Linked DNA regions of Astyanax mexicanus. The protein of the gene in region 1 purifies or fractionates together with the protein of each later gene. This does not show direct contact. Links are inferred from orthologs where the notes say so. Each region holds a gene or a part of one and is shown on either strand. Other genes may lie near its edges.

Region 1 (7,234 bases):
AAAAGTTCAGAAATCAATATTTGGTGATGGAATAACCCTGATTTAATCACAGTTTTCATGCATCTTAGCATATTCTCCTCCACCAGTCTTACACACTGCTTTTGAATAACGTTATTCAAGCAGTTCATCTTGGTTTGATGGCTTGTGATCATCCATCTTCCTCTTAATTATGTTGATTTGGTAAAATCAAAGAAACTCGTCATTTTTAAGTGGTCTTTTATTTTTTTCCAGAGCTGTATTATTTTTCCAGGTTAACAGAGCAAACATGGTTATCTTGTGAACTCAGCATAACTATGCAGGGCAGTGTACCTTCAGGAGCAGGGATGAGATATACTGCCATAGGGGTGCTAGCGGAAATTAGCATTAACATAGCTTAATTAGGTTTTCTCTCCTAATTGGCTGCAGTTTGACAGGTTCAGCCCAAACTGAAGGGCTGGTTCTAATAGTCACAGTTCTCCACTAATAGGAGAGCCATACCTTCATAGTGGAAAACAGTTACAACATACAGTGGCACTGGTCAGGGGAAGACAGATGGAGCTTTTGGCAGGCAGACCTTCACGCCTATGCAGGACTCCTGTGGCTGTACCAGGGTATCCTGTCACTATCAGTCTTTTACGCTCAACTGCTTCAAAGACACACTTAAAAATAACCCTCTATCTCTCTCTCTATTTCTCTCTTTCAACAACACACATTCATACATTGGCACAGTGTACATACACAGGTGTATAATACATTAGATCATTGTCATTCTAGCTCATCGTACTTTTGGCACATTCTAGCGCTTGTTCAGACCTACGCCTGTAAGCAAATTAGCTGTAGAGTAAACTGCTATCTATCTACTGTAAGCATTATCTGCTCCCACTGCTACCACTAGTCCTGCTGGCACCCACTAGAGAGTTCTGGAGTGTTAGGGGAAAAGCCCCCAGTAAGCCTCCATACTGTATTTTTCGCGCTATAAGGCGCACTTAAAATCCTTTAATTATCCCAAAAATAATCAGTGCACTTTAAAATCCGTTGTGCCTTATGTGTGAATTCTACCAGTCAGGTTGTAAGGAGCAGTAAAGCCATTCTGCTGAAGTACAGCGTTATACAGGCGTTTCAGTTTAGTTCTCAAGCAATGTTAGCATTAGCCTCTAACCCCAGCTAGCACTGCTGGAGCAGAATTAGCATTACTCGCTAACCACGCTAAGTGCTAGCTCTTTCCCCGTTCAGAGTTCAGTATTATCGGACTGTAGCCTTCTGCTAGCCCCGGCTACCACTGCTGGAGCAGAATTCGCGTTACCCCCTAACCACATTAAGCACTAGCTCTTTCGCTACTCATAGACAAGTATATTGGCCTGTAGCCCGCTTGTTTACTGTGTTACTAGGGTTGCAGCGGTAACCGGTTTCACGGTATACCATGGTATTAAAATACACGGCTATCATACCGTGTGTGTTTGCTTACTACCGGTAAAACGCAAGCCAGCGGAGAAACTCATCCGCGCATGCGCAGCTCTGCTCCGCTTCAGCTACTCAGCACACAGCAATGAGAACAGCAGAAAGTGCATCAGACTAAACAAATCTCCGTCCGCCTAAAAAAAGGCTAAACTAAAATCAGCAGTGTGGGACTATTTCAGATACCCACCGAACGCACCCGAGGATGGTCATCCGATTTGTAATCAATGTGGCCGTAAAGTCACAGCTAAAGGTGGACATACGTCAAACCTGTCCCCCATCTCCGAGAACACTACCCCGCTGTGCAGCGCAAAGTATGTGTTTAGTTTATAATTTTAATCTGAACCTAAATAAAACCTCTTTTTAGTCGTGCACAACCCATGCGGTAAGCGCCGAAGTTATCAGAAATTTGGGCACACAGGTACAGGCGTGAAGTGCATGCTACGATGGATTCACGTGTCCGTGTAAAGGTCCTGGCCGGACTGGATGTGAAAGACGCTATTCATTTATATGCGTTCATTTTCAAATTCTGACGTGCCTGTTTTTCATATGTTAAAACCAGACTCGGCGTGAAAGCCTTAAAATAGAAATCCCTATTATGAGGATCATGTCAGAAATAAATCCCCTCTTTCTGCAGTATCTGCTTATATACCAACGCAGTAAAACAGACGTTTACAACAGTTGTTGATCAGACACTGATCCAGGCTCAGTTTATCAGATATTAAATAATTTAAACTTAAATAATTGTACTGAATATTTTAAATACAGGATCTTTACTTCTTAGAGGACATGTAATGTGTGTAATGTGTGTGTGTATGTGTGTGTGTGTGTATGTATGTATGTATATATATATATATATATATATATATATATATATATATATATTATATTATATTATATATATTTATATATATATATATATATATATATATATATATATATATATATATATATATATATTTTTTTTTATATATACTCTTAATGCCCTTAAGAGTAGTGGAAAAACCTGGTTTCCTTAACCTGATGGTGTACAGCTTATTTTTTTTAGGGAGAAATTATCTATATAATTGTTCCAGGTTTCTACAATAAATAGTTAATTGAACAAAAAACTCTTGTTGTAATTTCTTTAAGGGTCAGTATAATGATATATGTAACAAACTGTGATACCGTGATAACGGTGATACCTCGGTATTTTCTGAGACGGTTATCACACCGTGAAAATCTCATACCGTTGCAACCCTATGTGTTACAACAAGCTACATAGGACAAACCACTAGCTAATATCACCCTGCCTTACGTGTAGCGCCGTCAGTTGGCATTTACGCCTCGTTAGCGCTAGCAGTTATCTGCTAATGCCGCTCCACCCAGTCTTAGTGGACATCTGGAAATCTAAGCTTACTGTTAATAAAATAAAGCATTTTTTTCTCGCCCAAATAAACAGTTTTTAGGAGAGAAATCTGTGTAGATTAACATCCAGTACTCGTTTATTATGCCACATGTTTTTAGAACGTTCCAGCTAACCTTCATGGAACCTTTACCTTTATATACAACTTTTATAAAGTTCTCTGTTAGCAAGGTAGGTGTCATTGCAACAAGATGATCAATAAGTGTTAATTCTCTTCACCTTCAACAGATTGTCAAAAAAAAAAAGGAAAATAAAACAAAATATTCCCGTTTTGTTTTTTTAAGCCTTATTGCACTTCGTGGGCATTAAGTGACACTACACACTCATGCATAGTAATATAGTATATATAGTATAGTATAGTAGTATAGTATAGTGTGTATGTCAGTCTATAAAAGAGTATTTTTTTTTTTGCTTAAAGAAAAAATATAACATAAAAATGAAATACACTTATGGGATATTTATGCTATCAATGCGTGAAAATGTACCATATAAATTACATTACGTTACATTTGGCAGACGCTTTTGTCCAGAGCGACTTACAAAAATATGTGTTCCCGAACAGCGTGGATTACACCTGCTTTGCTAAGACGTCCATACGGGTTAATTTGTCTATTTGTTTCCATATTTCTTTCCACCTTAAATGAACGTAATGCTGCACAATTTAAGGTGGAATGTTTAAAAAATAGAAAACGTGCTTAAAAGACATATATTCTAATACATTTCAAATAAATACATAAAATATTAATTATAGGTAGTTTAGCTTTATGATGAACATGAGGCAATATGTCTAATAATGTCTAATAATATACTGCGCCATTTAAGGTGGAACGGGGAAAATTAACTGAAAGAAGCAGCAGAATTTCAGGATTGGTGTTGTTTAAAGCGGGGGATTCTCGGGGCTGTGCTGATGATATTTTACTGCCATCACCGTGAATTCTATCAAGCCAGACAGCTCGGGAAACCCCCACTGATGAGAAAGATACACGTTCAGGTCTAGAAAGTAAAAATCCATCGCAGGGTTTTAAATAACCTGTATGTGCGCCTGTATAGCAGCTACGGAAATCCCGGGGTGGATTTTTACTCTCTGGACCTGGATCACCCCACCCGCTGTACTGATAGAGAGCAAGTAGGCCGCATTGACTGCGACCTCAACCGAACTAACTACCTTCCCTGACCGAGCCCGCCCTGTGATTATTCCGCACGGCGCGGTGACGGGCGTGTGCTCAGGCCAATCAGAGAGCTCCGCAGCGCCGGGTCCGGTCAGCGTTGCCCAATCAGAACGCGGCGGAGAGGGATAGGGGAGCGCCTTCGACGGATCTTCCTGGCGAGAAGATAGTTCCTGCTGTACGCTGGCCGTTTCCTGTAATCGTACAGTGTTGTGAGACGGAGAAAGCCATGTGTGTCGATGCAAAGGTAAATTTAGCACCCTGAATTTATTACTGAGAAAGTTAGACGAGCGAACTGTAGCGTTTTAGTGGGTATTTAACCCGAGTAAACAGGTCAGCCCGACAGAAACAGCTTTGCGGCCTGCTCCGTGTGTGTTGGTAGTCAGGGCTATGGGTTTTGTAGCACGTTGCCTTTGGTTTGGTCCGGTTTGTTGATGATGAACGAGAGGGATGAAAGTAGCTAAATGATGGAGACTCGTATTTTACACCTGTGATGAATGAAATCAACACCTCCTCTTAGCTTCACTTTTCTCCTGTATCCAGCAGTATATGAATGGCCAGTGAATGTAGCTACAGCTCACATTAATAGGCAGGTTGGTGCTGCATGAGGACATTTAGCAATAGCAGCAGCAGCCCCATTTCTGTCCTAAACTTTTGGCATCATATTTATTTAAGTATTTTATTATTGTTAATTTAGAAGACAACAGAGCGTAAACTGAAGTAAATTTACAGTTACAGTACGAGTTATTATCCGTTTTATTATGTCAGTTCATGTTAAACAGAGCCTAGGCTATATCTTGTCTCTTGTTTTCATTTCTTTATTTACCTGGTAAGTTATATACAGTAGGTTACAAGACTAAAGTTTGGTCACACTTCTTCTCGTTCAGTGTGTTTTTTTTACAGTGTACATAGAATATTAAATGAATTAAAGCTATACAGCAACACATTATTAGGCAGGCTGATGCTACACGAGGACATTTAACAGCATCCTCAGGTCTGCCCTGAACTCATAGACGATTTTATTATAGATACTTTTAAAGATCACAGAACATAAACTCAAGTAGATTTAAGGTTAACTTACTTCACAAGTTATTACCTGTTTCATTATGTCAGTTCTTGTTAAACAGAGCATAGGGTATATATTGGCTCCTAAATTTCCTTTCTTTATTTACCTGCCAATATATACAGCTCTGGACATTTAACAGCAGTAGCCACATTTCTGCCCTGAACCTTTGGCTTCATATCTATAGAGTATGTAGAGAGTATTATTATTAAGACCACAGATTGTACATTAAAGTATGTTATTAATCTATCTGCTTTATTATGATAAACTAGATATGCGTTCTTACTACTGGTCACTGGGTTCATCTTAAACAGAGTCTAGGCTTTGTGTTTTATCCTTATTTTTATTTCTTCTATTTGCCTGCCTATGTACAGTAGAATAGTCTAAAGTTTGGACACACCTCTTCTCATTTCCTTGATTTGTTTTACATTGAAAATGTAATATATTGGAGATGCAAAATAAAAAAAAAATACCCAAAAGTGTTAAACAAACCAGAATGTCAACCTAAACACCTCCTGTTAGCTTCACTTTTCTCCTGTATGCAGCAGTATATGAATGGCCAGTGAATGTAGCTACAGCTACATAGGCAGGTTGGTGCTGCATGAGGACATTTAGTAGCAGCAGCCCCATTTCTGCCTGAACTTTTGGCGTCATATCTGTAGAGCATTTGATTATTGTTATTTTTAAAGACCACAGAGCGTAAATTGAAGTAAGTTTAGAGGCACTATACGAGTTATTACTTGTTTCATTGTGTAAGTTCACGTTAAAGAGAGTCTAGACTATATATTAGCTCCTACTTTCATTCCTTTATTTACCTGGCAAGTCATATACAATAGGTTACTAGTCAAAAGTTTGTGCATACCTCTTCTTATTCAATGTGTTTACCTTGTTTTTGAATTTTTATATTGGTAGTCTTAAATTGATTTTTTATTTTTGTAAACAAAAAGTTTTAAACAAACCAGAATATGTTTTATATTTTTAATTCTTCTATGTAGCACATTTATCTTTAAGGATAGATTTTTCTCAGTGTCTTCCTGAGGTAGAGTCACCTGGAATAGTTTTCTCAGCACTAGGTTCTGAACAATAGTTGCTGTTTTTTCTTCACACTGTAAAGCTCCAGCTCATCCCAAATCACCTCAAATCACCATCTCAGTTCATTAGGTTTAGATCAGGTGATTGTAGAGGAGCACTTTTTTTTTAACCGTTTACTATGTAATTTCATATGTGTCCCTTAACTGTTTTCAGGTATTTAATATTAATCTATAAAGTCTAAGAAATAAGGAAATCATTAAATGGAAAAATAATTAATTTTATACATTTCTCTCACCTGTAGGCTTACTTACCAAAAATAGTCACTGAAAACCTCACTGAATGTTTACAGTACACAGCCACTTTAGTTACCTACTAGGTTATATTGTTTACAGTGGGTGCCTCACCTTACACACTATATATTTCTGCTGCTGTTACCTTTAAATATTCTTATCTTTGTATTTTATTGTTGGGTTGTTTAATATTTACTTTTTAAAAATGTACTTCTGACTTCACAGCCACTGCAATCTAGTTATAACTAACTATTAGCTACGTTTGTTATGTTAATTAATTTATTAAATGTTTTACATAATGTCCCAGATATTATTGAGCCATACTTATTTACTGTCAGTGTTCGACCGCTTTATTGCACTGTTATGTTAATGATTCTATAGCATTATGATGCATTATCCTATAGTATTTTAAAGACCTTTAAATTGAACTATGAAAACTATTAAATATCCAAAAATGAACGACTATATGTTTTCAAATCAAATTGACATACCAGCTGATTTACATTAATTTGTCTCATCACTCAGTAAACACAGAGAAAACTAAGGGCTGGTGCTGTGTATGGGAAAGAACTCAAGATTCACTAGTTTATCACGATATATTGAGAACACATCAACAATTATTATTGTAAAAGTTTGTAATTGCTGTTATAATAAACAGTGTTTGATCTCTTTAGTCCTAAAATTAAAATTAAAGATTTTTTTCTTGCACCATTAAGTCTGCTATAATGTGATAATACAAGTGTCAATAAGAGGGATAAATCTGCTGTAGTTTGAATGGGATGATGTATGTAAATGAGTCTGAGTTAGTGAGATCACAAAAAAACATCAAATATACAACCAGCTC
Region 2 (8,000 bases), on another chromosome or scaffold:
CACTCCACACGTCTACCATGACTTGAGTGTAAATAATACAGTCACACATTTAGATAAGGTGTGCTGCTGATTAATACTGAAGAAAAGAAACTTTATTTTTCATGTCAGTTTGTATAATTAAATATTCTGCACTGATTTCTTTAGTTTAGTAGTGACTTTTTACAACATTACCTTTTACAGGGTGTTGAATATCTTATAAATTGATATGACTGACCTACCTGACCTTCCTTGGTACCACCTACCAAGGTGTGCAGTTCTCCTCACTGGTAAAACAGAGCGTTTCTGTGATAGTTTTATATTATATTTTAAGCTCCACTGTAAAACTATCCCAGACTGCAAATTCTAAATAGACTCTTTAGTTTATCATTTGAGAACTCTCCTCAGTGCTGCTGGCAGGGCAATAACATCTGTTATTGACATATTAAGGACACCAGACCCGAAACTCAATTGTCATAAATGGACATGATTATGTGTCCTACGTCTAATACACATTATCGCATCTTTATGATAGAACAGAATAACTGCATAATGCTTTGCTGATATTTCCATCAATTTACCTGCAGCAGCAGCCGTGCCATACTCCAGATGCAGCTCTACATGCTCCTGCAGCGAGCTGTTGTCCACACAGACCAAGGAACACAACGGACACTCGTACAGTGGAAAACCTACCGGTTCCAAATTAAAGCCCAGGTAATGCACAGCTGAATTTAAGCAATACAATGCATTTCCATTTTAGACACATTTTTTTAATTCATGCACCAATCCAATCAAATATCTTTTTTCACCTGGTTCTCCGTTTCTCACAGAAGAACATGCCTGTGCTGATGCTCCTGCTTCAGGAACAGCTCCTGAAAACAACAAAATAGCATATGCAATACTGCCTATATAGTAAGATTTATGGCTACGGCACAGAAAAACAACAGTGTTAATAGTATTATACCCTACTTGGATGCAATTCATTTTACAGTAAATGTTACATCAGTAAAATACACTTATAATCAAAAATGAATTGCACACAGAATTATGGCTGCACAATATATCATTTCAGCATCGATATTGCAATGTATATATTTTGTATACAGAACTAGTTTGCTGCTTAAGAAATAAAAATCAAACTATTCTTATTTTACATAATAATATCTACCAGATAAACAATTATATCTACCAGGTACCATTTATTTTACTCCAATCATTGGTGCACCGATTGCATTATTATTATTATCATGACGTACTGGATTATTGACAAGACAGATTGTAAATTAATACTAAAGCTATCCAGACTATGAAGAAAAGCATATGGAACAAAAAACAAATGTTGAAGAAAGCAGAATCTGTTTTATACTTTAGATTCTTCAAAGTAGCACCTCTTGCTTAGATAGAAACAGCTTTGCACATCTTGGCTGGATTTTCTCAGTCAGCTTTATGAGGTAGAGTCACCTGGATTGATCAGCTTTCGGTTAACAGCTGTGCTGAACTTGTCAAGAGTGAATTACTTGAATTTCTCTTCCTCTCATTGTGTTTGAGAGCATCAGTTGTGTTGTGGAGAGGGAGAGTTGGTAAATTGTAATGTAAATTGCCATTAAGTATGCTTATTATTTCTATATTATTCATTTATTTATTAGTATTTGCTTCTGTTAGTATAAATATATTGGTTTCTGTATTGTGACCTGCCACAGGACAGCTTTAAAACACGAGGCAGTGGACAGACTTGTCTTCCTGGCCCGCAGCCTGTAGTAGGGTATGTCTGGTGTGAAAATTTGACAGCACTAATAGACAGGACTGCACTAATGAGGATTTATTGAGCACAACTGAGTAAATTATATGTTCTCTTTTGTTTACATTGGAAAGTTGCTTGAAGATTTTGTTATAAAAAGAAAAGAATACTTTATTTTGTATGATAGGTTTTATTGATTTGGAACTGACCAAAGAATTTAGTTCTCTGCCTACTTTTTTATTCTGTAACATCTGATCTTTGAATGAAGTGTTATGCTTTTATTTATTTATTTATTTATATATATATTATAGTTATATAATGTTCATTTGTTACCTTCTGACTAAATAACTCCCTTATCTCTCACTTATGAGTAAAAAGAACCCTTTAAGTGTGACAGTGATTGATTTATATGGTGATACATATCGATATCGACTGACACGGAAAACTATATTGTGATAAGATTATTTTTTCCATTTCACCAAGGTCCTATTCTTGAGCACCTCTGTACACTCTGAGAAAATAGGCAATATTTAATAATATTTAACAAATAAATAGAAGAATCTATACAGACCCAGGAGCATCATAGCACATTTACACCAGACTAAAATCACTGAAAAACACCAGTAACAATCGCTATACTACCTTCAGATGCAGATGAAGCCTGGTCCTGGAGATGCAGCTCAACGTGTTCCTGAAGAATAAAGCAGTCACTGCAGACCAGACTGCAGAACGGACAGGGAAACATCCTCTCTGCAACAAAACGACCATAAATAACCAAACATATCCAAACAAAGGCCACTATAAAATAAATATAAGAATATATTAAGACATTTTATTGATGAATACCTTTCTTGGGGGAGGACAGGCGTTTCTGTTTGGCCTTGCAATGCTCTGCTGAGTAATCCTCAGACTGCCCAGGGTGGACGCTGGATGTTTGTTTTTTAGATGCGCTTGCTGTGCTTGCCGCAGGAGGTGAGGATTTAATCCTGGACTGGGCTCCTTGACCTTGAGTAAGTGCAATTCCTGCACTAGGCGCAGCCGTCTCATTAGCTGTTTTGAGAGTGTGATGACCTGATGTTTGAGGGGAAGCTGGAGTTCTCCATGAGTTACAAGAGGCTGGCGAATTCTTCACAGTCCATTTAGCACCATTGGTTTCAGTGGGGTCTGGTACCCGATCTGCTGATGCCTTGTCAGTGGGTGAGTTCTGAAGATCCATCTCTGTGTGTGCAGTACTAATGTGGAAGTTCAGCTCATCGTAGGAGACTCCTGATAGCGAGCAAAACGGACAGCTCATCTCATTTTCCAGGTGGCTCAGAAGGAGGTGGGTTTTTAATTCTGATTCAGATGCAAACTCTTGGCAGCAGATGTCACAAACAGGCATGGTGGGACAGCTTCTGTCAGTGGAGTACATAGTAAACGTGCAGAATCAGTAAGTGTTTCATGAAGCATCTCAAAATTGTACTGTTATAATATTATATTATATTATAATAATGTGCTTTTTAAAGGGGCGTAAAAGTGCTTCTCCCACTGCATTACATTAAAAGTCTCTCAGGGGCTACTTTTCAGTAGTGTATCACTTGGTGAGAGATTGTTGACTGCTAGACCTGCTTCTACAATGCATGTGAAGACATTTGCCAAGTTCACTTCAAAATGGGGTACATCAATGGACTCAGCAAAGCAGGATGGTCATTTTTGACAAACCATAAGCCAGTCATCCAGCAAACGTCGCCCTTTACAGTGGTGTTGTGACCAGGAAACCTGGACTGATAAGGACTAAAACCTTATTGACTTTAAGAAAAGCCTCAACCGCTGGGTGATACAACAGACAACCACTAAAATGTGCCACGTGATGCCTCTCACGGCAGGGCTTCCAACTGGAACAGTTGGAACAGGATAATGCTAACTCATTAAGGGTTTTAAACTCATCAAGGGTTTTACCAGGAATGCCTATTGCAACACTTCCTTGGCCAACTAAATTACCATATTTATCAACAATTGGGCAACCAGTTTGGTAAAGATTGTTATAAGGGTTGACCAGCTTATTCAGACTGGTTATTCTGGCTAACCTGCTTGGTAAGGCTAGTCTTGGTGGTCAACCTGCTTGGTCAGGCTGGGTATTGTGGCCAACCAGCTTGGTTGTGCTGATCATACAGGTCAACATGCTTGGTCAGGATGGTTATCCTGGCTAACCTACTTGGTCAGGATGGTCTTGATGGTCAACCAGTTTTGTCAAGCTGGTTATTCTGACCAACCAGCTTGGTCAGGGTGGTTATTCTGGCTAACATACTTGGTCAGGCTGGTTTTGTTGGTCAACCAGCTTGGTAATGAATGTTATGAAGGTTGACCAGCTTGGTCAGGCTGGTTATTCTGGTTAACCTGATTGGTCAGGCTGGTCTTAACGGTTAACCAGTTTGGTCAGGCTGGTTATTCTGGCCAACCAGCTTGATAATGCTGGTCATACAGGTCAACTTGCTTTGTCAGGCGGGTCTTGCTGGTCGATCAGCTTGGTCAGGCTGGTTATTCTGGCTAACCTGCTTGGTCAGGATGGTCCTGCGGGTCAACCGGCTTGGTATTATTTGTTTTGAAGATTGACCAGCTTGTACATGCTGGTTATTCTGGATATCCAGCTTGGTCGCAGAGCATGGTCAAGTTTGGATATCTAGCTAGCTTTTTTTGGTTTGTCATGCTTGTAGAGCAACTAAACCATCAAAGTCTGTGTTAACAAAAACAGAAACATACTCTACATTGGACAAAATCTAAACTGGTCAACCGGCTTAGCTTAACCAGCTGGAGCTGTGCAGTTTTGTTTACAGCAGGGATCTAAATCTAAATAAACACTCCCACATGCAAGTTCGTGCACTAGAAGTCAGAAATATGTTGCTTTTTTAATCAAACGAGGACGATGGCATGTTTTAGACAGAATGAATGAGCCCCTTCAATGTATTCAATCATATTCAACCATTCAGAGACAATAGAAACACACAGATAAACCTCCAGCATATCTAGCTACATTTAAATGGTGTAGGTTAAATACTTACTCGAGTTGTTTTAACCTGTTAATCAGTTTTTCTCGCTGCACCTCAGGTTCTCCGGGTTCTCATTTCACTGAAACTCAGCCTCTTTATTTTCGTTTTCCTCGCCTGACCCGCTGGAAACATCGCGGGAAGTGACGCGCTTCTCGGCCGTAACCTGGGGACGCCATATTGCCCTCCTCAGCCGGAGTGAATCGGGAAGGAGGCGAGAGGAACGGAACAGCAAATAAAACACGAAAAAAGCGACTATCCGCACAGGACTGGGGTCTAGAAGTGAACAGGTGAGCCTCAGTCACCGTCCGGTGTGACTTTAGGTTGGGTTAAGGGTGATTAGGGGCTTTAATTACGCTGAGAAAGGAGGGCAGAGGCGGAGTGACGTAGGTTAGCTAGCTTAGCATTAGCTCTGCTAACCTAGCGTTAGGTTAGCACTAGCGAGCAAAGCTGGTATATTTGGGTTGCGAAACCAAGAAAAAACAGATAAATTTCCTTCTTAGTGCGGATTAAAACACATTGTTCCCAGTTACATTGGTTTACCAGCTTGTAATGCTAACATACATCTTAGTTGGGTGCTGTTTAATGCTCCAAAATGCTGGAGTTGCCTTCTTAATCTAATTGTCCGTTCCACCTTATACAGGGCAGCAGTGCCAGCTAAATCCTGCAGACTCCAGAATTTAACTGCTCATATATGTTTATGGTAACTACTCTACTCTTTAAGGTGGAATGGGTGGGTTCAGTTTTGTGTTGCCCCACCTGGCATCTAGCTAGCTAGCTTAGTTAGCTAACGCTAGCTATCATAGCTTACTAATAAACCAGCTGTTATTTAGCGCTACCAGTTTTAGAACTCAAAATCCCACCTGATTTATTTTTTAAATACAGATTAACTTTTAAATACAGTACATTTTTAAGCTGTATAGTTAATATAACTTGTGGTATTTCTATAATATTGGCTGCTGAGACTAGCTAGCTAATGTTAGCATACAGTTATGCTAATGTGTTTAGTATAACTATATTCAGCTTTTCCATATTAAAATAAATAAAATAAAAACAGTTTGAGATTTTTTTAATCATTATTTAATGTTCTGTCTACACCACTTAAAGGATTGTTAAATATTGTTGTGCTTTAAAAGTGTCTTTAAGGGGCACTAAACCCCCTGATTTTTGATGACCCCACCTTCAGCTCAAATTTGGAAAAAGGCTAAAAATTGGAAGGGGCGTTGAGTGATGTATGGGTTTAGAGGTGCGGCAGGAGAGAGAGCTGATTGGCTGAGCTACTGCTGCAGCAGTATGCCTCTGATAGCAGTGAGACCCAGATGATTGGACGTCAGCAGGGGGGCGTTATTATTAATTGTCTGATCTGCATATTGTGAGTGTTAATAGTCACATATTAAAATAACTGATGTTATGTAAGAGCCAAAAATCTAAATTGTAATCGAAAAGAAAGTCGAAAGAATTTATGGATATTGATGACATTTTTGAGCCATCATCATGTAGTGCAAGTTTTAAATGTGAAATAAAAATGTCTGGAATTTTATATACTTATAAACTTGAAACTTTTGCACAGCGTGCAAGACCAATTTGATCAGCTTTTGCTGTATGACCACTAGGACAACAAAAATGGCGAGTCCAGGAAAAGACAGTTATCGAATGAAAAGCTACAAGAACAAGGCCCTGAACCCGCAGGAGATGAGAAGACGGAGGGAGGAAGAGGGCATCCAGCTGCGGAAACAGAAGAGAGAAGAACAGGTAGGCCTGTAAAGCAGTATTACTCAAGTACACTTTGTTGCAGAATCAGACAAATCCAAAGGGTGGAATTGGACCACGTCCAGTGGTTTGTTCCTATTAATTCGTATTAGTCTGAAATCCTGTAATATTTCCTCCTAATCTCTTTCTCTCTTGCTCTTACTCACACACATACACACAGGCTGTTTTTAGCTCAGAAATGATAAACTCCCGAAAGTTTTAAATACTCTTCTTACCCATGTTTTTAGCAGTTACACTCTGCCCTTCAGCTTCATTTAGTAGCTTGCTCCTGTACTTATGTTAAAAGTAACATTACCTCAACCAGGAAAACTGTAATTTATCCTGTGTTCTTCTAAAGCTAGGCAGTGTAATTGTAATAGATGTCCCACCTCTTACATGACTCCAGATTCTCCTGCATGCCAACCACAAATCATATTATATAATATCTTGGGGCAATCGAGCAAAACAGAGTGACCAACATTTGTTGTAGGCATGTGACAAGGAGAGCATCCTAATTGATCTCACATTGTGCTCAGTAGATCATTACAGAATTTAACACAGACATGACTCACATGAGAGATCTCATGTAGTTACAAATTAATGAATATAGGCATAATCTGGATTTGGTAAACAACTATGCTTTGTTTCATTTAGGCCAACAATTTTTGTACATACGATTCATATGATGGGCAGGTGCCTTCCTTTTGATGTTTCTTAGAAAGGTCTCTGGGTTTTCGGATCAGCACTAGCAGAAATCTGACGTCTGGTGTTCAAACAATGCAACTGCATGAGATTTCATAGTAACAGAATGTGGAATTGCCTGTTTCAGCCATGCACAACGTATAAGTTTATATATACAGCTCTGGGAAAAAATAAAAGCCACTTCAAAATAAGTTTCTTTGATTTTACCAAATTGAAAACCTCTGAAATATAATCAAGAGGAAGATGAATTATCACAAGCCATCAAACCAAGCTAAGCTGCTTGAATTCTTGCACCAGGAGTGGCAAAAAGTTATCCAAAAGCAGTGTGTAAGATTGGTGGAGGAGAACATGCCAAGATACATGAAAACTGTGATGAAAGACCAGAGTTATTCCACCAAATATTAATTTCTGAACTCTTAAATCTTAATAAAAAATATTTACTTGTTTTCTTTTGCATTATTTGAGAATTATTAGGAATTTGGGAGATTTTAGTTTATAGAATAAAACAATTATGTTCATTTTACTCAAACTAATACCTATAAATATTAAAATTGTAAAACTGCTTTACAAACTAATGTGGTCTCTTATTTTTTTCCAGAGCTGTACATAAAATATGTATGTAGTTCAGCATATTTTTGCAATTAAATGACATATTGGTGAAAATGAAATTTCACATATTCATTTTGCAATTAATGATAAATTAAAACGATAAATTCAGAATACAAACAGTTGTATGTCTAGGTGGAGGATGTGAAAGATGTTATGCAAAACTTTTGCATAAGTTTTGCATAACTTTGTGTCCAAAATCTTTC

What was found.
Region 2: the proteins of chd8 (region 1) and kpna5 purify together in Homo sapiens (affinity purification with mass spectrometry; 3 studies listed by BioGRID and IntAct, with this or other methods). This does not show direct contact. The link is inferred for Astyanax mexicanus from reciprocal best matches to the Homo sapiens genes CHD8 and KPNA5.

The regions. Positions count from the first base shown.
Region 1 is NC_064415.1:51,094,392-51,101,625, reverse strand, and holds the start of chd8 (chromodomain-helicase-DNA-binding protein 8), read left to right. Parts: upstream 1-4,144; 5' UTR 4,145-4,252; intron 4,253-7,234. UniProt on the Homo sapiens protein: ATP-dependent chromatin-remodeling factor, it slides nucleosomes along DNA; nucleosome sliding requires ATP. Acts as a transcription repressor by remodeling chromatin structure and recruiting histone H1 to target genes.
Region 2 is NC_064411.1:31,758,938-31,766,937, forward strand, and holds the start of kpna5 (importin subunit alpha-6), read left to right. Parts: upstream 1-4,917; 5' UTR 4,918-5,027; intron 5,028-6,350; 5' UTR 6,351-6,360; coding exon 6,361-6,489; intron 6,490-8,000. Other genes in the region: zufsp (zinc finger-containing ubiquitin peptidase 1), read right to left, coding at 558-665, 786-848, 2,357-2,464, 2,561-3,095. UniProt on the Homo sapiens protein: Functions in nuclear protein import as an adapter protein for nuclear receptor KPNB1. Binds specifically and directly to substrates containing either a simple or bipartite NLS motif.